Linked DNA regions of Saccharomyces cerevisiae S288C. The gene in region 3 interacts genetically with the main gene of each other region. Each region holds a gene or a part of one and is shown on either strand. Other genes may lie near its edges.

Region 1 (6,475 bases), on a different chromosome or scaffold from region 3:
TGTGTACACCCAAGTGAGACATTTGCTGTATTGGCTCCTTTTTAGAGTCACAAGTAGGTCATTTGTAATTTCTTTTGCCAGCATTGGATAAACATTTACGGCACATGACCATAATTGTTGAATAAATGCGGGCCGTAATCGCGTTTTACCATCAGTGGTTTTAACTACACTGCGATAATATTTGAAAAGTCCTTCGAATTGATTGGTGTTGACAAAATACCTAGAAATGCACAAATGAAACGAACCGTCTATGCTAATATCATTATCTCTCTGGATTTTTTCCAAGATTACTTTTAAATTCTCGAAATTGTTAGTAGAGACGTACGCTTGAACCACTGACATATATAGCTCTTTTCGTGTTGAAATATTATTATTAAGTCTGGTAATAAATTTATCAACTCTTTCCATCAATATTGAGTCATCAATGCTTTTTGTTCTGTCTCCTTTGATGCAATACAGAGAATGACAAAATTCAATCAACTCAAACTGCACACTTGATGTATATCCCGTACTTAAAACAACGGGATTGGTTAAAAAATCGTTTAGCTCATCTGTATTAGAAAAACGTAATAACATTCTGTGTATTATCGCGAGGGTTTTGAACGAGGGAAGGTTAGTTGAAGAGGATTGCTCATCACCACATTTCACTTTCAACCAGAGATAAAAGATGTGTTTCATACTGGACATATCTAGATATCTTTCCATACATCGGAGAAACTCAAAAAGCTGCTTTTCAGTTATTGGAAATGTATCAGGATTGGTAATTGCTTGCGTGTAAAATTCCACCGCTAGTTGAGTGTTATTACTCCTTATGAAAGAGTTTAATCCTAAAGATATCATTTGTGGCTTTACTTTGCAATATTTGATATATTCTGCAAATAAAGTTTCACAGACATCAAAATGATGTAAATTATGCTGTACTACCAACATAATTTCGATGAACTGACCATATGTGCCTTTATCAGTGTGGCTTGCTAATAAGGGCGTGAATTGCTCATATGTTGTGTATATTTGTCCAATATCGTAGTCCCTTTTCAAAAAGTGAAGAGAATTTATTAAGATCAGTAATTGCTGTATTGAAAACAAAACCTTTTGGTTAGTGGAAAGGCTAATTATTGTCATCAAAATATCTGGATCTGCACTTTCGAATTTTTGCTTCCACAATATTCCAAAATCTTTGTCTTTCACTATATTATATTGATTCTTAAGAATATCTAAGCTGCTGGGGCTTTTGGTAATGGAGTCCATCCAATCGAGTTTATTCCGAGACTCATACACACCGCTTATTGTTGAAGAATCTTTTAGTTGCGCTTTAACCCAATCCTCAATATCTTCCTTATGCTTTTTTTTGATCAACTCAGTTGAGTAATATCGTACTTTAAAGAAAACAGTGTGCATAACCTTGTTTGATTCTCTGTGAAGTAATCTCTTTATACCACTGGAGGATATAAATCTCCGTTGTAACATTAAGTTCTCGTAAGCAATTGTTTAAATTTAATAGGTAGTGATAAAAAATTTGACGATATCAAAGTTGTGGTGTAATTAATAGAATACATGAAAAGTTATGATCAACATAAAAATGCTCTATACCAGATAGAATTTTATAAAAAAGGAAGAGAATAAAACGATAATAAAAGGAAAGACAGGTTAAACGATTGGAATGGGGTCTTCAAGTTACAAATCTAGAGGAAAGTGTAGACCTAGTGCAGCAATTGTAAATTTTGAACCTTTCTGTGGGGGGAGGGGTTTCTCAAAGTATCAGATAGTATTATGCACGGTAAATAAAGCCTAACAACAAGAAGTCCAAACAATAAATAACAACCGTTTCTGATCCTTGGATCGTATACAGAAGCTTGTTCATTTCAGTTTTTTCATTGTCTCTTCCTTCGGTATGCCTACCTTTCTGAAATATATGGTTATTATTCGAAGAACTCGTAAGGTCCGGGTAATAATTATGAAATGCAATAGTAAAATATAATTATTACTCAACTGGCTGTATATATACGAACTCCTTCAACAAATGTACATAAGAAATGTTTATCACAACTATCAAGTTTAATCATAAATAGTTTCATAAGTGTGTAATTCTGGGCTCACGCTAAAGTATATTCCTGACAACATAGTTTGGCGAAGGTTTGGCAATATCTTTATCAAGTAGTTCATGTAAGGATAAAAAAAATGCGATATAATAGTGGCTAAGGGCTCAAATGAGGATTCGTCAAAATAACATTCATAACTTGCAAAGTGATGAATTCTCTCAAAGCCATGGAAATTCCACGTCGTATCCTCAGGGGCATACTGTAGTAAATCCAAATCCCAGTTCTTCTGAGGATCAAACCTCTTAGCTAGAGATTTTCCAGTATATGCTGCAAACACTATCGGTATAATATCCAAGTATCTTGCATCCGGGGTCGAAAAGTATTGATGATTCATGATGTACTTATCAAATAATGGTAAGTATTTGGAGCAGAACGCACATTTGCAGCCGTTCCACAAAAGGTCACACGCATACATTTCATATGAGGTGATGGACTGCAATACAGTTGGAGCTATTATTGTTTCCAACGAAGTTAGCTTTGGTAAAACCTTTTCATAAAGTTTTTTACGGCGAAGCAAGTTCCCATCAACAGTATCAATGCCCTTGCCATTTAAAGGTGGGTCATGTCGTATGCTTAACAAACGCAAATCTTTACTCACGTTTGGTAAATTTAAAATAAACTTATTAACGACCAAGTCCCATTTCTCGTCCATGTAATGGTACCCTTTTTTGGTGAATGTCTTTTCAATGAACCCCAGACTTGTTAAGGAAACAAGGTTTCCTGTTATATCTTGAAGAAAGTCATCATCACATTCACAGTCGTCCACCTCACAAGAAAATTCTAATTCAAGGGCTTTAAGATTGGATAAATTAACTACATCCTTAAACGCGCGTGAAGATAATCTCATAGAAGTAGCACTCCCATCACCTTGTTTGTGAACATGATTAAGCTTCAAACGGCGCAGATTCTTGAAGCGGAGGTTCAGGGAATCAAAGTATTCAAAGACCCTTAGGCTTGAGTACGCTTCGTCCTTTATTTCTAACTCTCCTCCATTAAGTTGCTTCATTAACATTACACCCACTTCAGGGATTATTACGTTTTGCAAATCCAACGATTCAGGTAATTGCCATTTTAAGCTTTTGAAGTTTTGCCATAATTTGATACCATCAAATCCAGTTTCGCCATATACTACTCTCTTCTTTAAACTTGACAGGCGATAATACTTTGCTGAACATAACTCAAACAAGGTAGGATCCTTGATGTCAAGACTTTCAATCACGTCCAAGTCAGTGATTTCATTGACCAATCTTTGTAACAGTTGCAATCCTTCTTCCCTGTTGTGAAACAAATCCTCGTCAATAGTCAGCTGTTTTATACATTTTAAATGCGATGTCTCCAACAACCTTTCAATTCTATCATATAAAAATATGTCATTCTTGTCACCGGTTTTCAGAACAGATCTATAACCACTTACATAAGTTTTTCCCCCGTCCAAAAACCATTTGTTTGTTCTTAAAACAGGATTCTTAGTTATGTGAATATTGCTATAAAGACGAGGGATTGCAATCATGTCATGCATTTTTTTGGATGTTAGACTTAGGCTTAATAAATCATTTTGATTAAGAAATAAGGAGGCATGCGAGAACACTATGAATATATCTTGATCTTGGAATGCCATTTGTCAGTATTACTTTTGTTATATCATGTGAGCACAACTGTCGTTTTCACAATAGTTCAAATTGACTAGAGAGTTAGTAAAGGGGTACAACTTGCTTTTGTAATAGGGCACACCTTTAATTTTCCATCCATGAACATTTTTCAACAAAAAAAGAGGTGGAAAAAATTCAAAAGAAAATGACAACGGTAAAGAAATTAAATCAAGTTCCATCATTGTATTTAGAATAGAAATCGACATGCTTTGTAATAGGTTCCACAATGAATCTCGTCACTAAATCCACAAGTAGGTTAGAGATGAATCAGATTATATGCAAAGTATATATCTGTACATATTCATTATTTATAATTGGGAATAACTGATAATTAGGGGATGAACAGAATGTTTAGTCAGAACATTGATAAAATTCTCATAATCAGAAGGAGAATAATGTTGAATCAGTTCCTTTAAAAGCGTTATTCTTGAAAATATTTCAGCATTAGAGCACCAGCCGAGTGGGGAATCTTTAAAATCCTCGGTGTTGAAGTGCTCCAATAGAGCACTTTTTAGGTGATGTATCTGGTCTTTGTAACACTTTGAGATATCCCTTCCAGTCAATTTTATCATATTTAATATATGCATTGCCTTTTGTAGTTCGTTGATGAACTGGTTATCCTTTTCTATAGTAAATAGACAATTCTTCGCCGATTCTTCGGCAGCAAACATATCATATTCATTTAGATATTGAAACAACTGTAAACACAACTCTTCTACCACCTCAGAACTTGTGAATACGTCAACAAACTTTTTTGTGAATATAAGAGCGGTCACACTGGTGTTCCTGTTATATTCCCAGTCTGCAGTTTGAATAAAGTTCTTATTCAAATAAAAAGAAGCCTTTTCTCTTATTTCAGAATCATCGTCCCATAAGAAGTTGTACAGTTGTAATAGTATTCTGGAGTTCTTACAACTTTCTGGATAAGCAGTTAAACATTCTAAAGATGCCAATCTAAAATCTTTTGAACAAGAATCGGCGAAAAATCCTTGTAACAAGTTCCATACCTGGTGAAAGGTTTGCGAAGACAATTTAGCACTTAGTGATGAAACGGCAGCAAGTTTTGTATCTTCACTATTATTTGTTTTTAGGAGATCAGTGCAGGTCGTCAGGGATAAAGTATTCTTTTTTCTTGAGAGAATTTTCACTACTAAAGCTTTAGCCATAGGCAGCAAATCTGGAACCCTGAGTAATAATTGTAGTTGTTCAAGAAATTCTGAGTTTCTTGTAGTTTCCCAGTGAAAGTTAGTATTCATGTACTGTAGTGTACTGAGCTGAGCCTCATAAAATGGAGAATACAATCCTAATAAGCAAATATCATCGAGATATATACTATCCTCATATTTTAAGAGCATGTCTAAGATTTGTGCAAGATATAGCTGTTTGCTACCATCCACAACATATTCGTTATTTTCAGCAATAAATGTGTTCCGCAAAGTGCTGATATAATCTTTTAAAATAGAATCAGGTATGTCGCATGTTTCCAATATACAGCAGGTCAATTTTAAGTAGGCCTTTTTAGTGATAAAGCACTTGTTCTCTAGTAGAAGCATCCTTTTCTTTTCAAGTATCCTTTGAATCAACTCCATATCTCTAGTTCCTGAAAGGTATTGTGGTACTAGTTGTTGGAGTGCTAGTAAGTGTCCATGTAACTGGTTTTGCTTCGCGATAGAAGCCAAGTCAAGTAATTTTCTTATCTCTTCTTCAAAATTTTCCGACAGCATATGCAATACTCTAGAGGCCATATCTCTGATCTTCCAGTTCTCATTTGATAAACATTCATAAACAGAAACGTTGAATTCTTTTAGACCAGTATAGCCAGCTGTAGGCCGTAACCTCAGTAGCACATTAAGGACCAAGAAAATGCTTTCAATTTGATATGATTTTCTTTCACTTCCCGAATATTGAGCAATAGAACTGTTTAGAATATTCAAAAGCAGTTGCCTCAAGCCAGAATATTTGGTAAAGAATAATTTTGCACTAACGCTTCTGCCCACTTTTCCAAAAATTCTATTTTGCAAGGAGGTAAACAGCATGATAGAACAGTTTCTTAGAGCCCATATATCACAGTCGAAATTCAATAAAGCTAGTTCTAATGCCTCTGAGACAAATGACGTACAGTGTACAGAGAGCTTCGGTTCAACAAAGATTGCGTTTATACAATTAATAGCATTAACCTGTGGTAAATCAAACTCATCTTGATGGGGAGGAATTGGTAACCTTGCAACGAGTAGTAAGTTTTCAAAAGTTTTTTGTAACAAAGGTCTCCCTTTGGTAACTTCTGCACTTAAGACGGTTGTGACCAAGAAAGGCAAGCCTCCTGACCTTCTTGTAATATGTTGAGTTTTGGATTTTAAAGATTTTACACTCTTGCTTAAAAGTTCTTCCAGAATAGCGGGAAATTCAAGTTGACAACGAATACAAAATGCCTTTAGCCCCGGTAAAACGGCTTGGAAGGCGCCACTATGACGAATAGTAGAAAGCTGAACAATAAAAAGATCGCCGATACTGTCTAATTGATCTCTTGTTAAAGGGTATTTTTTTAATATTGTTTCAAGTAAATATGATGCTTCTTTTATCGCCCTAAATGCGTGACTTATTATAACTTGGTCCGGTACACCACAATTAGCATATTTTTCAGGTAGTATTCCATGGGCAGAATCATGACACACTACATTTCTCGTTGCTTCCCAGCTCTTGAGTACAAGATTTATTAATTTTGAGATT
Region 2 (5,091 bases), on a different chromosome or scaffold from region 3:
TAAGTTTCAAAGTAATTCAGATGCTGCAGAAATGTTACGCTGTTATGAAACGATTAAAGACCATATACAACTCTCAATTTGTGGATGGTAAGCAATTAAGTCGAGAAGAGCTGATTATACTAGATAATCTACAGAAGATCTATGCAGAAAAGATACAAACTGAAAGTAATAAGTTCAGAGTATTACAAAATAATTACTTGAAATTCTTGAACAAGGATGATTTGAAACCTATCCGCAATAAGGCCAGTGCAGAGAACACGCTATTATTAGATGATGAGGAAGAGGAGGCAGCAAGAGAGAAGAGAGAGGGCCTCGATATTGAAGACTATTCAAAAAGGACGTTGCAGAGACAGCAACAGCTTCATGACACTTCTGCAGAAGCATATTTGAGAGAACGTGACGAAGAAATTACTCAGTTGGCAAGGGGTGTATTAGAAGTGAGCACTATTTTCAGGGAAATGCAAGATTTGGTTGTTGACCAGGGGACTATTGTGGACAGGATTGATTATAATCTGGAAAATACAGTGGTAGAGCTAAAAAGTGCAGATAAAGAGTTGAATAAAGCAACACACTACCAGAAGAGAACTCAAAAATGTAAAGTCATTTTATTACTAACATTGTGCGTAATAGCGCTCTTTTTCTTTGTTATGTTGAAACCACATGGCGGTGGCAGTGGTGGTCGTAATAATGGTAGCAACAAGTACAACAATGATGATAATAAAACAGTTAATAACAGTCATGATGACGGCAGTAATACCCATATTAATGACGAAGAGAGCAACTTGCCGAGTATCGTTGAAGTAACAGAATCTGAGAATGATGCTTTGGATGACCTACTTTGATGACAAAACTTTCACGGTACCGCATCGCGATTTTGAACTATAATATGCTTTGAAGAAAATTGAGAGATTTAGTCAGCGTTCATATGACCTGTTGCTCGTTCTATTTGAGAAAAGTGAAAAGGTTAATATATGATTTCAATAAAGTATGTAGTATGATAATAAAATACAAATTTATATGGGATAAAATTGAACCGCAAGTAAAGACTGGCGAACGAATATTGTGCATAAGTAGTTCCTGAAGATGATAAAATATGGTTTAATACAAGTTGGTGGTTATTGTGATTTGTAGAATATAAAAAAAAAAAAAGAACCTTCATTTTTCTTTTTTTACCTAAATCCGTAAGGATTGTTCAGTGAAGTAGTAGCTCGGGGCAAGTTTTTGTTTTGCATTCTCCTCTTATAGGCAGGCTTATATCCTTGTGTTATCGGGCTTTGGTTTGGTAAAGGATTCGGAGCAAAACCGACGCCTGGTACCGGATTTCTGTGCTGTGGCACTTGGTTTGGGGCAACGTTGAAATAAGGATTGCTTTGTAAAATAACATTAGAAGGATCTGGACCAGCAGGAGTAGTTCTTTGATATAAATTGTATTGATGATATTGCTGCTGTGGTTGCTGTTGTTGTGGTTGTAGTCGTTGTTGGGGATACACTAATGGCGCCGGGTGTGGCTGACCAGCGTACGGCCTTATATTTGCAGGACCAGCGGCTGTTTCTCGAGGCATTTGATTGTATACTTCCGGATTGACACCTCTCTGTGATATTGAAGTCAACGTTGAATCTTTATCGTTGTAGGAGGACATGCTGTTGATGTGGCTATCGTTTGGTTCATTGAAGGAGGTCTCCATGATGTCGTTTAGTAGTCTCGAAGGATTTCTGTGCGGTATGACCTCTCTTTGAGAGTAGTCTGAGGACGCTAATGATGCACTGGATGATATTTCCGTTTTTCCTAGCGGAACTTTATAGTTTATATTGTTGCTGGTGTTACTACCATTGTTTCTCACATAATTATTAGAAACACTCCCATTTTTCAAGCCACTTTCACTTTCAATGACAGAATACGTTGAAGTTGACCTCCTTTTGTCATAGGCCATGCCATCGTCCTCTTCTTCATTAAGTCCGGAACCATTTGAATTTTCCATGTCCTTTGCTTCTTTATCGAAAGTAGAAATATCAGACGTGGTAGAAGTGGTTATGTTTGATAATTTCGGATCTTGATTGTGTGAAATAATATCTGGGACAACAGTGATATTAGTACCGTTCTTAAAATTGTCACCCAATAAATTCGTTCTTGAATCACCACGGAGGTTGGCCTCACTATCAGCGTCGATATCGAATCTCCCGGACTTCGAACTTAGATATGGGTCATTCAGCAGCATGCCCTTTTCTTCCAGTTCCTCGGTTTCGTCATCATCCCTTGAGCCTGAGCTTCTTGAATAAGCTGAGAATATCAAAGGAATTACTAGTAGAGATAAAGCAGCTCCTGGTATCAGGACCCATGAACACCAGGTTACATGTGGGTAAAACAGTAAAAATACCACGATACATATCAAAGAAGCAGAAAGAAAGCCTAGAGTGGAAAATGTCAAATTAACAAAAAACATGATGGCAGACGCACTACCAACTCTATCACTGGATAGCACGTTAATTAATAAAACGCTCATGATGGTACAAAGAAATCCCAAAAAATTAAGACCAGCAGCAATGGGTGTGATAAAGATGATTTTCCCCAATATAGACCTAGCGTTGCTATTGAGTTTCCAGTTGCTATCACTGTCTGATAGCTCATCGGGGTGATAATTATAACTTGCTTTTGAGCAGGAGCCCTCTTTACAGTAGCCGAATGTACCGTATGTGATCTCATCATATTTAGAATAGCCTATTTGTTTGAAAATTGGAGCCGTAATGGATCCGATAATGAGAAACGCCATAGTGACGAATTGTGATAGACCCACAAGGAAGAAAACTACCGAAGAATTTTTCTTCATAGCCTTTCTTATATTATAATCTATTAATGTTTACTAACTTCTCTGCTATAGCTTGAGTGAAAAATGGTATGTGCTTGGACAAGCTAAAATGAAATGATGGTCTTTTAACGCTGTGCCTTGTTGTTTCTATTGCCTGACACCTGAAGATATAAGTTATATATCGGAAAGAGAATGCAAGAAGAGACAAAATTATGACTAGCTGATCAAGAGGGTTTCTTATCAACAAGGATAAGAGACAACAGGACATGCATTACCGTGGCTTTCTGCCCACCACAGCGACAATGCAATATCGCTGACGCCTGCCTCTTTATTCAACTAAAAATATCTAAATATCAGCTGGAGCCAGCCGTCTCTTTTCTTCAGATGTGCCGTGATAAGCCCTTTTCGGCGCCCACGCGACGCGAATTGTTTCACACGGTAGGATAAGAGAAATTGCGTACAGCCACGAGAATTCGACTGCAACAAAGGTGTTAGACATTGCAGACTTGTTGCAAATTTGATTCCTACGGCAGGGAAAGATGCAGAGGAAAAAAATACTTGTTCATTCTTGGCAGATAGATTGCAATGCGAATCAAGTAAAAAAGCTAAGACCAGCGATGTGCAAAAGTAAAAAAATATCTCCCGGGGGCGAGTCGAACGCCCGATCTCAAGATTTCGTAGTGATAAATTACAGTCTTGCGCCTTAAACCAACTTGGCTACCGAGAGAAGCTATTTTTGTGTAGGTCAAGAATTGATGTCTATATATATTATTAATTTTATTGCGGCCTGGCTCGAAGAAGTCTTCATCCACGTATTCAAATGATAATTTTTCAAAATGTCAGGTTTTTTTTTTATTGTCATGTCGTTATGCATTAAATGATCTGGAATAATTAATTATGAAGGATGAGTACTAGAGAAGAGAAAAAAAAATATTCTACAAAAATAAATTGAACTTGTTTCTTCGGTATTAACACCAGAAATGGAACTGTCTCACGTACCATGGACGGGAATCTAGGTACATTTTCTTTTCGGCAATTTCTTGCTTGACTATTTCGATGTCGATATCTTTACGATCGGTTTCCAAATCTATGTCCTTTAACGCCTTAACCCCCCACCATTTGCCTGTTTGACACTTGTAATAAATTTTGTGGACGATGAATATAAATAACATGATTAAGGCACACAGATAATTTTGAAAAAATATTTTAGCCCTTTCTTTGCCGCTGGTCCAGCCACCAATGGGCCATAGTGAACAATAGAATTGAGCTATCAAGATTAGACAGTTGATTAAAGCGGAATACGCTGATCCCCAAATCCCGACAGCACTAACAAATTCTAATTCATCCAGAGACTTCCCTTGAGCCTTCATCGCCAGTCTAAATCTGATATGTGACAGGTTGATGCTCAACCAGACAATGCACGTGGCCAGGCCGGCAATGGCCATTAACCAATTGAAAACTTCAGACATCGAGCCAGATTTGACCAGAAATGCTAGTAATCCAAATAGTGAATTTGCCATAATGCCAACCAGTGGCCTACCAGCACGGTCGATATAACCAAACCACCATGGAATAAGGCCTTGGTGGGCCATCGAACACAACGTTCTACTTGAAGCGAAGATGCAGGAGTTACCTACACTCAAAACACTGATAAGGATGACCGCATTGACGATGGAGGGCAAGGCTTTAATGTGATGCAATTTTATGGCAATGACAAAAGGTGAGTTGTCCACAGATGAACCACCCAGTAAGTTTTGGTTTGTATATGGAACCAGGAATCCTACCAGGGTCAGTGATATCAAAAAGAAAAATAAGATCCTCCAAAACACTTGCTTGATAGCACTTGGTAAGCCTTTGGGGTCCGTTTCACCTGATGCCAGGCACGTCATTTCTATACCACCGAGAGAATACGAAGCAACAACAAGAACAGATAGAACGCCCGGGAACCCATTGGCCAAACAACCAGGGTCGTGCCAGTATTTGGCGCCAATGAACTCGTGGTCGGGACCTCCACCGCAAATGAGGACAACGCACAATATAATGAATCCGCAAACTGTTATTGCTTTTATGGTGGAAAATGCAAATTCCGCTTCCCCAAAACCTCGTACACCAAACAAATTTATGGAAACAATAACAGCATAAAAGATGGCTACCCAAATTACGGGGTCAATAGACGAGTTCCAGTACTGTACGGTCATTGCCGCCGCAATGATTTCTAAGGGTAATACAAAAAACCACTGTAGCACGTATATGGTCGAAACAACAAAACTTATACTTGGATCCAAAA
Region 3 (6,600 bases):
ACTCTTCGTCATCTGAAAACTGTCGTGTATTAGTTCTCGATTTTAAATCCACATAATCATGGAATGAGTTTGTTGACATGTTTGTTTTGAGATCATCCAGTTCTTGCAGAAACAATTTATTATTTTGGTTGTAAAGCTACTTCTATAAACAACTGCAATATTCCTATTCAGACTTCAGTGGGCTGGGTCAAGTAGGCTTCTATAAATTTTGTAGGTTACTATTAATATAGTAGATCTTAAATTCTCTTTAAGCTTGCCTTCACATAAACATCACTATTACTCTTTGCAACCCTTGGTAGTTTTTTTTTGGTTTTGTTTACTATTTCTAATTGATATTATCATTTAATACGATGGAAGTGACACCAAAAATTATTTTGTGTCACTGCACACCATAAATAAAGGTATTGGTCAGAATATATAAACATGTATGATATATAAATTGTGGCATCACAGTAATGCTCAAACAAAAACTTTAATGTTCTTTACTCTTTTAGGGTGTATTCAGTGTTTTTGTCGTTTATTTTTGAAATGTTATATTTTGAAAAGAATTCTCCAGAATCACCATTTGTTGTGATAACAAAGTGTTTTGATAGTAGCGTATTTACACTTTTGATGGCAATAATTGTGTTAAGGGTTTTGCTGCTGTTAGAGGTTTCACTTTCTTGTAATATCTTGAAAAAATCAGCCTTCGAATAAGCTCCGCCATTGAACATTATTGCAGGAAAGGATTCGTCTAAAATAATGACATATACGTCTGCAATATGCTTCTTGCCCTCGAGTTTTTTTGAAGGGTTTAGCGGTAAATTTTTCATTGAGTCTAAATACAACTTGTATCGAACACTGGAAAATATGAAAGTTTGGAATTTTCTGAGTTCACTTCGGCAATTATCAATATCGAGTTCCAAGTCATAGGATTCTTTGATCCATTTCTCGACGCTGTCTCCTAAAAAGTAGGATCTTATTCCCAGTTCGTTCTTGGTGAAGGACTCCAACACTCTTTTCTGCAGGAAACTTAGAAACTGCTTTCTGGTTTCTTCTTGCTTTACTAAATCAACATTCAAACCTTTGGCAAACTCGTTTGGAATTCCCATCCTGGAAGATATCTCTTTCCAACTCTGAACCATAGGTTGTAATTGTAATGATCTCATGGTGGGTAATGTTATTTTCAATTTTGTTTTCGGTAAGGAGGTCAAGACATCTTTGTAAAAGATATTTTTCTGCCATTTTTTGAATTGTTTAAAAAAAAAGAACATAATAAGAAGGGGAAAAAAAAAGTGAAAAATTAAGGGAATAACGACTATCGTTGATGTTAGAATGAATGTGAAGATACTTGCAGTTGCAAATATGATAAAAAATGGGGAGACTTTATATACTTTCACAAACGGCTTGTTACCGTTCTTTGGTGACTTCGAAGAAAATATAAACTTTATTTCTGCACGTCGTGACGAATGGAAGGCTCTTTTACCAACCAACCTGGATGTCGAGCTTTTCAGACTGGATAGAAATTGGTGAGTGGTAGAACAATAATTAGAAGAAATGCATGAAAGCTTACGAAACTGGAAACTTTCTCCTCGATATTTTGGAATTGCGGGAGATGTAATCGCCGAAGGCACTGGTTTAGGAAAAGCCCTTAATATTCCTGGCAAGTACATATTGAAACCCTTTCCATTATTGAGACTATTGAGCGTAACGCTGTTCATAAGCTCCCTTGTCCTACTGGCTAATCCCACTGGAACTTTGAACATTTTTTCCTACTCATATGTGGTTATGGTGGTCTTATTTATCTGCGCTAAATCACTTTTCAATTATTCTTTGCAGTTTATAGGGGAGGAGACTTCCTCTTTGTAAAATCTAATAGGGCGTGTTCACAATTTTATGCGTCGGGTGACTTCAATTTGGCGCCCGTTGAGATTATCTAAAAAATGCTTTTATTTATTTAAGCGCTTTTTGTTTTGACGAATGTATTTATGTTTTTGTATATATATGAGCGTTTTTTTTTTCCAGATTTAACTAGTTTTCTTTTTCACCTGTATGCACACCATCTTTTATTCCTATATAATGCCTTTTATAGTACTTTGAATCTTCTATATACAATTTTTTAGGTTTTATCTTTTAAAAAGTGTTTATTTCATTAATTTGAATCTTTATTCCCGTGTTGCTTGGTCAGCTCATTCAACTCCTCCTCAGTGACCAAGTGATGCTTATGATTCTTTGGTTTTTCAACCAAATCGCCAGATGTAGGGTCAACTTCACAGGAGGGGACGGATACAAGCCAATCATCCTTTACCACGTCATTCATTAAAACTCTTTGCTTTGGTTCTAAAGCCAACATTCTGCCTATTATTGTCCGTGAATGTCTTGGCAGTAGCCTTAATATTTTATTTGGCCCCCGAACTATATCATCTTCGTCCTCAGGTTCCTCAGTAAATAACCTAAATGAGTTGAAGCTCTTTTTTGGAGCCTTCCAAGGAAATCTTTTAAGGACCATACAGTAAAATATAATAGCGATAGACCACACATCTGCTACTCTTGGATCGTAGGATGTTTGTTTCAATAACTCAGGAGCCAAATAAGGGTCAGAACCCACGATTCCATGTGATTTTACAATGGTATCTTCGTAAGGGTATTGGAACACTACAGCGCTCCCAAAGTCAATCAGTTTCAAGATGCCATCTTTAGTGACGACACAATTGTCCAATTTTAAATCCCTATGAGCTAAGCCCATAGAGTGCAGGTAATTAACGCCGTGGCACAGCTGCTTGAAGTAACAGTTGACTTCATCTTGTGTCATTAGGTTACTCATGACGAGATTAAAAAAATCATATGGCGCATACTCCATTACTAATAAATAGGTGTCACCTTCAGTCAACATATCTAGGGTTTCAACGATATTTTCGTGGTGCAGCGTGGAACCAATACAAAATTCAGTGGTAACCTTCTTAGAATAATTAGCTAATTGAGACTGATTAGTTCCTTCATTGTTTAAGTGTGGTTTTCTGAACATTTTGCAAGCAAATAACTTGCCGTCTGTTCTTTCTACTACGGACACTGAACCGGAAGCTCCTTCGCCTAATTTTCTACCAGGAATACCATATTTTTCTAATAGCTCCACTGGGTTATCTGTTTCGTATAACGCTTTTCCGTTACTTTCTACTATATTTTCATTGGTGTTCAAATTGAGCTTCGGTTTTGTAGGGGTGGATCCACGGTTGTGATGGTGGTGATGATGATGGTTATCGTGATAATCATTATGAATTTTTTTGAAAAATCTTGTTAATCTCAAGGATTTTTTCTTTCTTGATGAGGTATCATCACTACCGCTTGAAGAATTATGCTGTAGTTCCACGGACCCAGGGGTGGAGGCTTGAGAGTCCATGAAGTGTTTGTCTTCAATCTGTTTCTGTAGTATCTCTACGGGATGCATATGTGCCTGGTATGATAAATTCGAAGAGGGTGTATCAGATTTTGCAGAAGACACTGTAGAAATGTTGCTATGAGCTGTAGAGCGAACGGGGTGAGGATGGTGGAAAGCATCTTTTGAGCCTTGATGAATGTAGTTTATTGGATTGTGAATACTATGGGGTAAGTGGGGCACAGTGTGTCCCGTACGAACGGGATTATGATTGTTAGGTAAGGGCCGTGAAGGAGAGTAGTCAATAGGAGCTTTTTTAGCTGAAGTAGGAGAAATACCTGTCAAAGTAGAACTTGCTACTACGTGTGACTCCTTTGACAACGCGCCATTTCCCTGGGGGCTCTTTCCTATGGTAGATCTTCGGTCGTTGGGTTTGTTATACTTTATTTGATCCTCTTGGTCAGAATCTGTATTCTTTTTTGAAGATCTAGAAGAAGACCTTGAAACATCATCTGTCTTTGAGTATGATTGGTTACCACCTCCATTGAATATTTTAGCCGATAAATTCTTCAACTTAGTTGGCCTAAATAATGAAGACAGCGAAGTTGATGAAGATGAGTGTAATGGAGTTTCCTTAACCATTATGCTATGAATTTCAGGCTGCTCTTTTCTGTCCTTCTCTCTTTTTTTCCCTCTCAAATCCTCTCAGCTTATTAGCGCACTAAAGAGTCAGTTTGGGTGAATAGCGTAATCAACTTATGGAAAAGAAGAACACTAGAATCCGTCACTATTGGCTGCAAATAAGTATTATATCTTTTTTCAATGAGAAATCTTGCTTGCCCCATAACAGGTACAATACTTAGCAAGCCAGGAAGAGTCACACTGCAAAATAGATATATGAGAAGCGGAAGTAGCTTTTCCCCTTATAGATGTACGCCGTTCGATATTACCCGAACTGCAAGAAAAGCTTCTCCAAATATCTACTGGCCTCCATTCAAGAAGGCAATTAAAGAGACTATGTGTACATGAATGGGAACTTGGTATGATGGTAGTAATGCTTTATTAGTCATTCCCCTACCCCCTTGCGCAACCTATCATTTTACTTGCCAGATGTGCTCTCCACTGTTAGAGCCTCTTCGCTGACAAAGAATGGACGAGTACGCGAGCGGTGAAACGAGCACTGCAGGCAAGAGAAAGAAAAATCATGCATGATTTGGAAAGCGAATAAGAAATGACGCAGTTGAGTGTTTGAGTTGGAGCCAGCTGTGTTATTCACAGGTTCATTTCGAGAAAATAAACGCCTTTGGTGGAAGCGGACACTATATTTCACATTTTAGCTGTAGAAGTAAAAAATTTATTTCAAGTTTACTTAATCCATTCAAGCAGTGCTTTCCCGGAGTTTCGAATAAAAGACACTGAGGACTTTTCAGTTTGAATTTGAGATATGTTGTGGAAGTTTCCCAATACCAGAACCGCCTTTGAAATCCGGAAGTTTTCTTTTATGTTCTTGTGAATTTTCTATCCGAGTTTTAACTTTCGATATTCAGAAAGAATAGCCGTTCATCTCTTTTATATTATATTTAGCGATGTAATGAAAGTAAAAAAACAAAAAAAAAAAACAACAATAATCAAATGACGCATATCTAAATATTCCAGAAAAGAATATAAATAACGAGGGTGATAAAGCGGGTGCAATTAAATTCTCTGTAGTACAAAAATATGTAATAACCGCAGAACTTGTTAGTGGAATCTCTTTTAGATGTAGCTTGAAGGCTCAATTCGCTCCCCTTCGGTTTGCTGAAGGAAGAACGATGCGGAATATTACTTTGTGACCATGTTATGTAAAGACAATTTCCTATTTTTTTTTATTTCTGCCCATGCATGGCTTATTGATTCACTAAGGATGCGTTATACCTTGTTGTGTTCCAATCCCAGTAAAACGTCAATTCCTTTTCTTTGCTAACTTTGGAGACGTCGCAATCTTCATAGAAGCTCACACCTCGTAATCTGTCTTTGGCATACTCGTAAAATGTGCCCTCTTCACATGAAAAACCTGGACCACTGGAGCAACTCTCTATAGGAACCACAGCATCGTTGACCACATAACGGACGTACGAATCGTTTGAGCATTGAAACTTTTCTGTGTAGACTCTAGCTCCCTGAGGAATGTACCACGACCTGTGGTAGGAATGATCACGAAAGGGAACATGATTGGTTGTTAAATTTCTAGTGTCATCAATCAATCCAGCAGTTGTCAAATAATTTAGAATATCAGTATCGTGCGTAAAGCTCAGCCAAACTTTTTGGTCCAAGTGCGCACTTTGTCGTATTAGCTTCACTGTTGCATTGAACAAATTAGCACCTATAGATTTAATCAATTTGTATCCGGGACCATTTTGGTAGAAGCTCGTCAAATCAGTCTCATAAGAATAATGTATTAACTCTGCCGCGGAGAAAATGTCACAAATGTTACTATAACCTTTTGCGTTCAACTCGAAGGCACACCAAGAAAACAAGGCCGCTGCATCTTTCCTGCTCAAGTTCAGCCCTTTATTTTCGTCATTAAGACGATCGGAAATATTTTCTAAGTAGTCCCTCGAATATGACATTAATATATCATTGTTGGCATTCGAATTCCAATTGGGGCACGAACTTTTGGCAGCTAATGTGTTTGCTCCTGACGAGGAATTTTCGCTAAGTGTTTGAAGTGATATATTAAAGCCATCGCCCAAAGCCTCGGCAAAATATTGCGCAGTATCGTAGATTCTTTTCGAATTTGTGGTGAAGATAGGAAAGTTGGTACAGTTCTCCATCAATTTTCCATATTTTGCTAAAAACTCCCTTGCATGTCTCTTTGCATTCATTTCTCCTGTATACGGGTTCAACACATCAATCGAATTTTGCAAAGTTGTCTCCATTTCTAGAAGACTTTCATCGGGAATAAAAAATTCATATCCATTATTCAAAAACGATAATGATCCCTCGTACTTACCTGTGTAATTGGATATTTTATACCATACTTCAAAAATATCCTTGGCCTCACTTCTGGTAGGATACCTTTCGCCATGTCTGCCAATCATTTGAACTTGCGTTAATCTACAACCTTCAGGAATATCAGTGGGTATACCGTAGTTAGCGGGAAAGGAGAAATATGGCGCAGACCCTCCAAGAAAGGGAAACAGACTCTTCTGAGAGCCAATTAGTTCAATATCCGCAAAACTTCTGAGTGGGATGGAGAGTGCCTTAGA
Region 4 (6,479 bases), on a different chromosome or scaffold from region 3:
AATGTATAATGGTTTAAAGTTGTAAGGAGGCCTTGAATATTTATATTCAACTGTCATATTAACAAAGTATACTGTGGAAAAGGAAATTGCGGAAAATGTTATTGCAAGTGCCACGGGTGGATATTCTAGGAAGTGCAATGATTTTAAAGGCTTGATAAAATAAACAAAAAAGGTGTCCCAGACCTTCCTCACCGCTGATACCTGTTTAGGAGCGATTTCACCTCCATTACTGGATAGCACTTTTTTGACTTGCTCTTCCAGGTTGGTTTGTAATTTTCTCAGACTATTTTCTCGAATCGATCTCGCTAACTTTGGATCTGTTGATCTTATTCTCGTAACTTGTGCTGTTGTTGCATCGATACCGCTATCATCTAGCTGATATTCATACAGACTTCTACTCGCCTCTGTATAAATCCGTTGCAATTGGGTTTCTCCAGCTCGACCATCATAAGTATTGGGGCTAGAGTGACTTTCTAAATCTAGCGAGTCTTGATCCCTTACCTCTCCAACGTAGTTATGCTTCTCAGTAGATAATGTGGCAACTTGGTTTTCAATTCGATCTGTCTCATCTTCTCCCCTCTGATAATCTTCTTGTATCTCTCCACGTTCGTTATTGTCTACTTGAATACGTCTTTCAGCCAAAATTTGAGCGATAGCGCCTTTAGAATCTTGTTTTCTTAATGTTTCAGGTAGTAACACCGTCAAAAGAATGACATTACATCCGGATAAAATAACCATAAACCATTGAGTGGATCTCCAGGGCCAGCGATTCACTAACAAAGATCCAAAAATTGGAGATAGTAGCGGCGCCAGTAGTGGACCCAAATAGTAATAACTCAAATTTTTACCTCTATCTTCGCTAATATATAAATCAGCCACTGTTCCAGCACCTACACTTTGAACACTGGCAGAAGCAGCCCCACAGAGCATTCTCAAGGCAATAAATGAGTTGATATCAGGAGCTAGAGCAGACCCGATATTAAATGCAAACAATAATGCAAATGAAGTTATGTAAGTAGTTCTTCTGCCCTCTAGCTCGGATAGAGAAGACCACCACAATGGGAAAACACCAAGACTTAAAAGGTACACACCAATTGAAACGTTTACCATAATCACTGATGTTTTAAATTCTGTTGTGATTGAGTTGATCGCTGGAAAAATGATAGATGTGCCCATGGGGCCCATCATGGAGGAAAACGCAATCAAGAAGACAATCATCTTTTTCATCATCGGTGGATAATCTCTGGCATCCTTGAACTCCGGTATAATGGCGAGTTGAGGCAATAGTCCCCTACGTTGATTCTTTGGAACAACGTATTCCTCACTCTTCAACCTACTTAGCTGGTTGTCTCTGTGTTCACGACTATTTGATGCCGTACTTTCCAGATTGGTCTTTTCGTAACTATAATCGTTGTGCTCGCTGTGCGGGCTGCCGCTGCTTTCATCGCAGTGCATCATAACATGATTGTTCGGTAGTGAATTGTCAGAGCAATTACTCCTCAAAGACCCTACATTCGATTGTGAACCTTGGGCTTGCATGTTTATCGCTTTCTGACTTCGGTCCTAGCATAGACGTTAACAAGTTAGAAAGATGTGAATACATATGCCTTCAACCCTGTTTTCTTTTAAGGATACAAGGACACAGCTATTACAACAAATTTTGTTGGTTTCTATCTTATCTAATCGATAATCTTTTAATATTTTAATCTAATCGCAGTTATCCAAAACTGGAATGAGATGGTTCAAATCCCCAAAGGTAGATGGAGTTACTGCTGAGGCGTGGAAAAACCCGAGTTTTTCCGAAGCCGCATATGAGAAATTGAGCAGGAATAATAGATATTTACGAAGAGGTAAAAGTGATAAAAGGCAGCGCCGTGGCAATATCTATTTACAATGACTCATTCTGACTATTTAAAAGTATGTAAGGGCTTTATCTAGGCTTTGTGCCGTTCAGGCTTTTTGTATACACATGTGATAATTGTATTACAGCTTGTAAGTAATTCAATGAACGTTTCTACACCGGCTAAACAAGAATCCATTTTGCTCCATGGCTCCAAGTTTCCATCCTTTACTGTGTTCACCGGTTCTGAATTTGGAGAAAACTTGGCCATTGGAAACGATTTTTCGTTTATAGCGCCTGCTATCAGGCTATTGATCTCATAATAGTTGTACCCATATGCATTCTTAAACGCCACTTCTGATGGGAGAATAACTGCTGATAAAACAGCATTGATGCCTACCTTAGTCATGAAATTGGGTTCATTTGCTTTCAGTTCATTCAAACCTGGAATTGCCTTCAGTAGGGAGATGCCGTAACCTGGGATGAAACCTTTGGCCAGCCCATGACATAGGACGTTATTTAAGCAATTATCTATTGCATTTCTTCTTCTGTCGATTTCGATTTCGTTATGTCCACCAATGCTTAAAGTGACCGTATTTTGGAGGAAGGATTTCGGAACTTTATTTGGAATCGCTTCAGCATCAATGGAGTTATATAAGAATGCCTCCCCTGTGGTCGCTTTTATGGATTCGATACTGCCGTAATATTTATCCGCACACATTTTGCTTGGCACTAAAGGACTATATTCTGGTGAGTAGATGCTGTCATATCCGCAAGGCAACCGTAAGAACTTTATAAAATCAAGATTCTCCTGTGGCGCTAAGTCATTGTTCGCCTTTTTAGAGTACTTCAAAACCACTATTCGGCTTTCATTATTTTCTCTCTTGTTTCTGTTATTGTTAATTGTAACGGATGTTAATGCATCACCTGTGCAATCTCCGTTAACGATTAAGAGAACAGATTTTCTCAACTTTCTTGCATACGTTATCGTGGGTAGAATTTTATTAGCGTCTCGTAACGTCCCATCATACATAAGAACTAGCATATCTTTATCAATGGAAACTAATTTCTTAGTAGGCAACTCCAGGGACCTTAAATAGGCTTCATTACTATCTAAAATACCAGCTGGATATTTCCAACCCTTGGATACATCAACCTCATCGTAAGTTTTGTTGCCGTTTATGACCCGCACAATGTCATCCGAAAACAATTCATAATTAATGGCTTTCAAAACCCTTTTGATGCTTTGGCTGTCTGAGGAGGACATAGTCAATTGCTCGACCAGAGCATCAACATCGTTTTGACTTTTCACTATAATCTTGTTCTTCGCAAGAAAATCTCTGATATATCGTAATCCGGCCTTGATCCCATTGGTCACTTCTTTTTCGGGATACTTGAAATAGTGCTCCAGTAAAGAGCATGTCAAAGATGTTGAAGTTGCTGTTAAGTTGTCCTGAATGCAATCCATGAATAATTGTAGACCAACCCTCCCCAGCTTTCGAGGCCTGTTTGATTGAAGTCGTGTGTTGGTAGCTTCATCTACTTGTAGGGAATCTAGTAACTCACGCATTACATTGTGAAGTCTCATGGTATCATGAGAACTAACGACCTGTGGCTTGGATTTATACTTAGGTTCATATATCAATGTTTTATTGTAGGAGGATGAAGTTATTATTTTTTCCAACAGCTTAATACCAGAGAGCGTATCTCTGAGAACCTGAAGGTTTTTTGTTCTATAGATTGGGGTGTGTAACGTTTTTACCGAACATTTCGTTTGATGATTTCCCAATTTCCTCAAACAATTCCTCAGCATACTCGTTAAAGCATAAGAGAGTTTTATGTTTACAGTAGTGTGGGAGAAAATAACGCCAGGTTAAAGCTCGTAAAAGGTAAACTATCGCACTATCGAAACTTTTGTTTCACAGGGAATGGAAGAAAGGGCCTTTATTTTTTACATTTTTTTAAGCCATAACGGATTTTAGTTACCGAGATTTTCAATCCTATAAGAATTACCTAAACTATTAAAAGCGGACCCATCTAAAACATAACGTTCGGCAAGTAGATGTATTGTTCCAAAAAGGCAATACATCCATACAACGGTGCCACCGATCTGTAATGAATGCTCCGTAATGTTTGGGGGATTCATTAAATTTACTGCTGGAACCGAGAGAGAAACACGACAGAGCAATTCATATAAATGAATAAATGAAAACTCGGTCGTATTGCCCTTAAACGTTTATAGGACCAGGTTGGCTACTTCCTCATCTCAATTTTGTGATAGGGGAGGTCTGCGTAAGGAATCAATTCGGATACCTTGGTAGTACTTTTAGGGGCACATTTTTTATTTCTACTTCTTGTATTATTAGGTATCACTGAGATCTATCTCTAATGATGCCTTCACTCCCACAGATAGCGGAAGACATTAATGCACTTCAAATCAAAACTTCTTCAACTAAAGCTACTCTTTTCGAACGCAGAAGATATAATTTCATTCCTAGAGACTTTCTACGAACCTAAAGTAGCAAATTTAAAAAAATAAAGAGTTTGATCCAACCGAGGTTCGAACTCGGGATCTTCGCCGTGTAAAGGCGACGTCTTGAACCACTGGACCATTGGACCCGGAACTCGATACTATGTCATTTTTGGATATCGGTTAGTTGTATACATTGGATATCTCATCTAAAAGCATTACGCATGCCCTATAACTGGTAAATTCAATGAATGTTTTGTAAGTTGAGGGGATGCTAATTCCCTACGAAGTATTTCTATATTATGTGCAACTACATCAAGAAGATAATATTAAAGTTGTTGGAATAAGAATCTGTTGGAATGGAAATCAACTATCGTCCATCAACTATAGTTATACTACTGGTATTATCATATACGATGTTAGATGATGACATAAGCTATGAAAAAACTGCCATTGAAGTTAAAGGAAGCTGAAATGCAAAGATTGATAATGTAATATGATAATGAAACATTTAAAACGGAATGAGGAATAATCGTAATATTATTATGTAGAAGTATCGATTCCATTCGAGGATTCCTATATCCTCGAGGAGAACTTCTAGTATATTCTGCATACATAATATTATAGCCTTAATCAATAAAAACCCCAAGAATTACCTCAAAATTCACCAATATCTCAAAATCAACCTTCATCTGTCTACCAGTAGTCATATTATTATATGTTATCATATACAGTGTAAAAAAGATGATATAAAGATTGAAAAACAGTCATCAGATGTTTGGGAAGCTGAAATAAAATATAGTAGGACAATGGGTGACAATATATAAAATGGAGAAAGAAATAGTAGCCTTATTACGTAAAAGTATCAATCTCTTTTGTAAATTTTTGTATCCTGGGGAAGAACCTTTATCATATTCTCTATTCCTAATGTTATAACCTTAACAACAACGAAATCCCAAAAATTATGACAAAATCCACCAATATATCAAAATTCACATAAAGAAAGCCGTATTCTATATAACATTGCAGAACATTTTTCTAACACATTACCAATCGTCAAAGTTCTGCCTTTACTAAATCAGGTGCTGAATTTTGAATCATATATAAATAGCCAAGTAGTTTGTGCGGTCGATTCCAACGCCGCTTATAATCCTATTCCAGCAATATTAACAATGTAGTCTTAAACTGATATGGTAACGACAGATAGAAGATAGCTGACCCATATTCAACCAAATATCTTGTCTAGAAAGGCGCATTTGATAGGCAAAAAATTGCACAGGCGTATTATCTTTGTATGCTAATGCTTTTTTATGTTATTCACTGAATACTAACTATCAGTAGTTGATTCCCTCTTAGCTACAAATGCATAACTATATGTATAATCACGTAGATAATGTATTGATGTAAAGTGAAAACAATTTTACAGAGTATTGGCAGTTAAGTGTTGTTTTTTCGCTCAAAAAACATCCTCATCAAGCGATATAATTTGTGCCCCTTGACTACTTATACCTTTCAGTTGCCTACCAATGTTTCTTTCCGTAGCTCTCATACTAAGTATGATATCAGATTTATCATTAACGGAATCTTCGCATTCAACAGCCGCAAAATCCAAAGGATATTCTTCAGAATAGTACTTGCTTAGTTGCTCTCCTCTCAGTCTATAATTTTCTGCTTCATTTCTCTGCCTTTTATACTCTGTATATTGAAAATAATGTAAAAATTGGGCTACACCTACTGTGTCACACTTCGAAGCTCTCTGAGACTCCTCATCATGCTGTGAATTCATCTTTGTCTTTAGAATTGACCTCATTTCAGTAGTCGAATAACCACTTTGAGTCTCATCTTTGTTTAACTTTTTAGATTTTTTGTAGATTAAAAGACGTGAGTTTTCATCAAACCTAACACTTGAGGTACTCCGATCCTTTATACAAAGATCTGTATCCATTTCTGAAATGTTTTCGCTGTCAGATAACTCTGCATCTTCTTCGTTATCAACATATGGATTGAAAGCATCATAGAATCTTTTATTTCTAAAATTCACGCATCTTTTCTTTTTTTGATGACTTTTGATCAAATGCGTTAAGTTATCTTGGCTTAAATCAGCTTTACCAACTTTTGAAAGAATTTGTGATATATTGGTCCTATTAGTAAGGCCGCGAAATGTGGGGA

What was found.
Region 1: mutations in RTK1 (region 3) and ROY1 together harm fitness more than expected from each alone (negative genetic interaction), as found in Saccharomyces cerevisiae (one large-scale study listed by BioGRID).
Region 2: mutations in RTK1 (region 3) and YOL019W-A together harm fitness more than expected from each alone (negative genetic interaction), as found in Saccharomyces cerevisiae (one large-scale study listed by BioGRID).
Region 4: mutations in RTK1 (region 3) and TCM62 together harm fitness more than expected from each alone (negative genetic interaction), as found in Saccharomyces cerevisiae (one large-scale study listed by BioGRID).

Annotation. Positions count from the first base shown.
Region 1 is NC_001145.3:780,565-787,039, forward strand, and holds ROY1 (Roy1p), read right to left. Parts: upstream 3,718-6,475; coding exon 2,056-3,717; downstream 1-2,055. Other genes in the region: PET111 (Pet111p), read right to left, coding at 1-1,467; tRNA methylation protein TRM732, read right to left, coding at 4,057-6,475. UniProt on the Saccharomyces cerevisiae protein: Non-SCF-type F-box protein involved in the endocytic with the vacuolar sorting pathway. Acts as a repressor of YPT52 by inhibiting the formation of active, GTP-bound, YPT52. Involved in the defense mechanism against methylmercury toxicity.
Region 2 is NC_001147.6:286,632-291,722, reverse strand, and holds YOL019W-A (uncharacterized protein), read right to left. Parts: upstream 3,304-5,091; coding exon 3,151-3,303; downstream 1-3,150. Other genes in the region: t-SNARE syntaxin TLG2, read left to right, coding at 1-842; TOS7 (Tos7p), read right to left, coding at 1,170-2,825; aromatic amino acid transmembrane transporter TAT2, read right to left, coding at 3,773-5,091.
Region 3 is NC_001136.10:403,213-409,812, forward strand, and holds RTK1 (putative serine/threonine protein kinase RTK1), read right to left. Parts: upstream 3,995-6,600; coding exon 2,132-3,994; downstream 1-2,131. Other genes in the region: serine/threonine/tyrosine protein kinase MPS1, read right to left, coding at 1-79; MRX9 (Mrx9p), read right to left, coding at 483-1,745; putative acid phosphatase DIA3, read right to left, coding at 5,239-6,600; YDL022C-A (uncharacterized protein), read right to left, coding at 6,596-6,600. UniProt on the Saccharomyces cerevisiae protein: Probable serine/threonine-protein kinase that may be involved in ribosome biogenesis.
Region 4 is NC_001134.8:322,407-328,885, forward strand, and holds TCM62 (Tcm62p), read right to left. Parts: upstream 3,654-6,479; coding exon 1,935-3,653; downstream 1-1,934. Other genes in the region: QDR3 (Qdr3p), read right to left, coding at 1-1,539; protein phosphatase regulator GIP1, read right to left, coding at 5,767-6,479. UniProt on the Saccharomyces cerevisiae protein: Chaperone. Required for the assembly of succinate dehydrogenase subunits. Ensures mitochondrial gene expression at elevated temperatures and prevents heat-aggregation of the ribosomal subunit VAR1.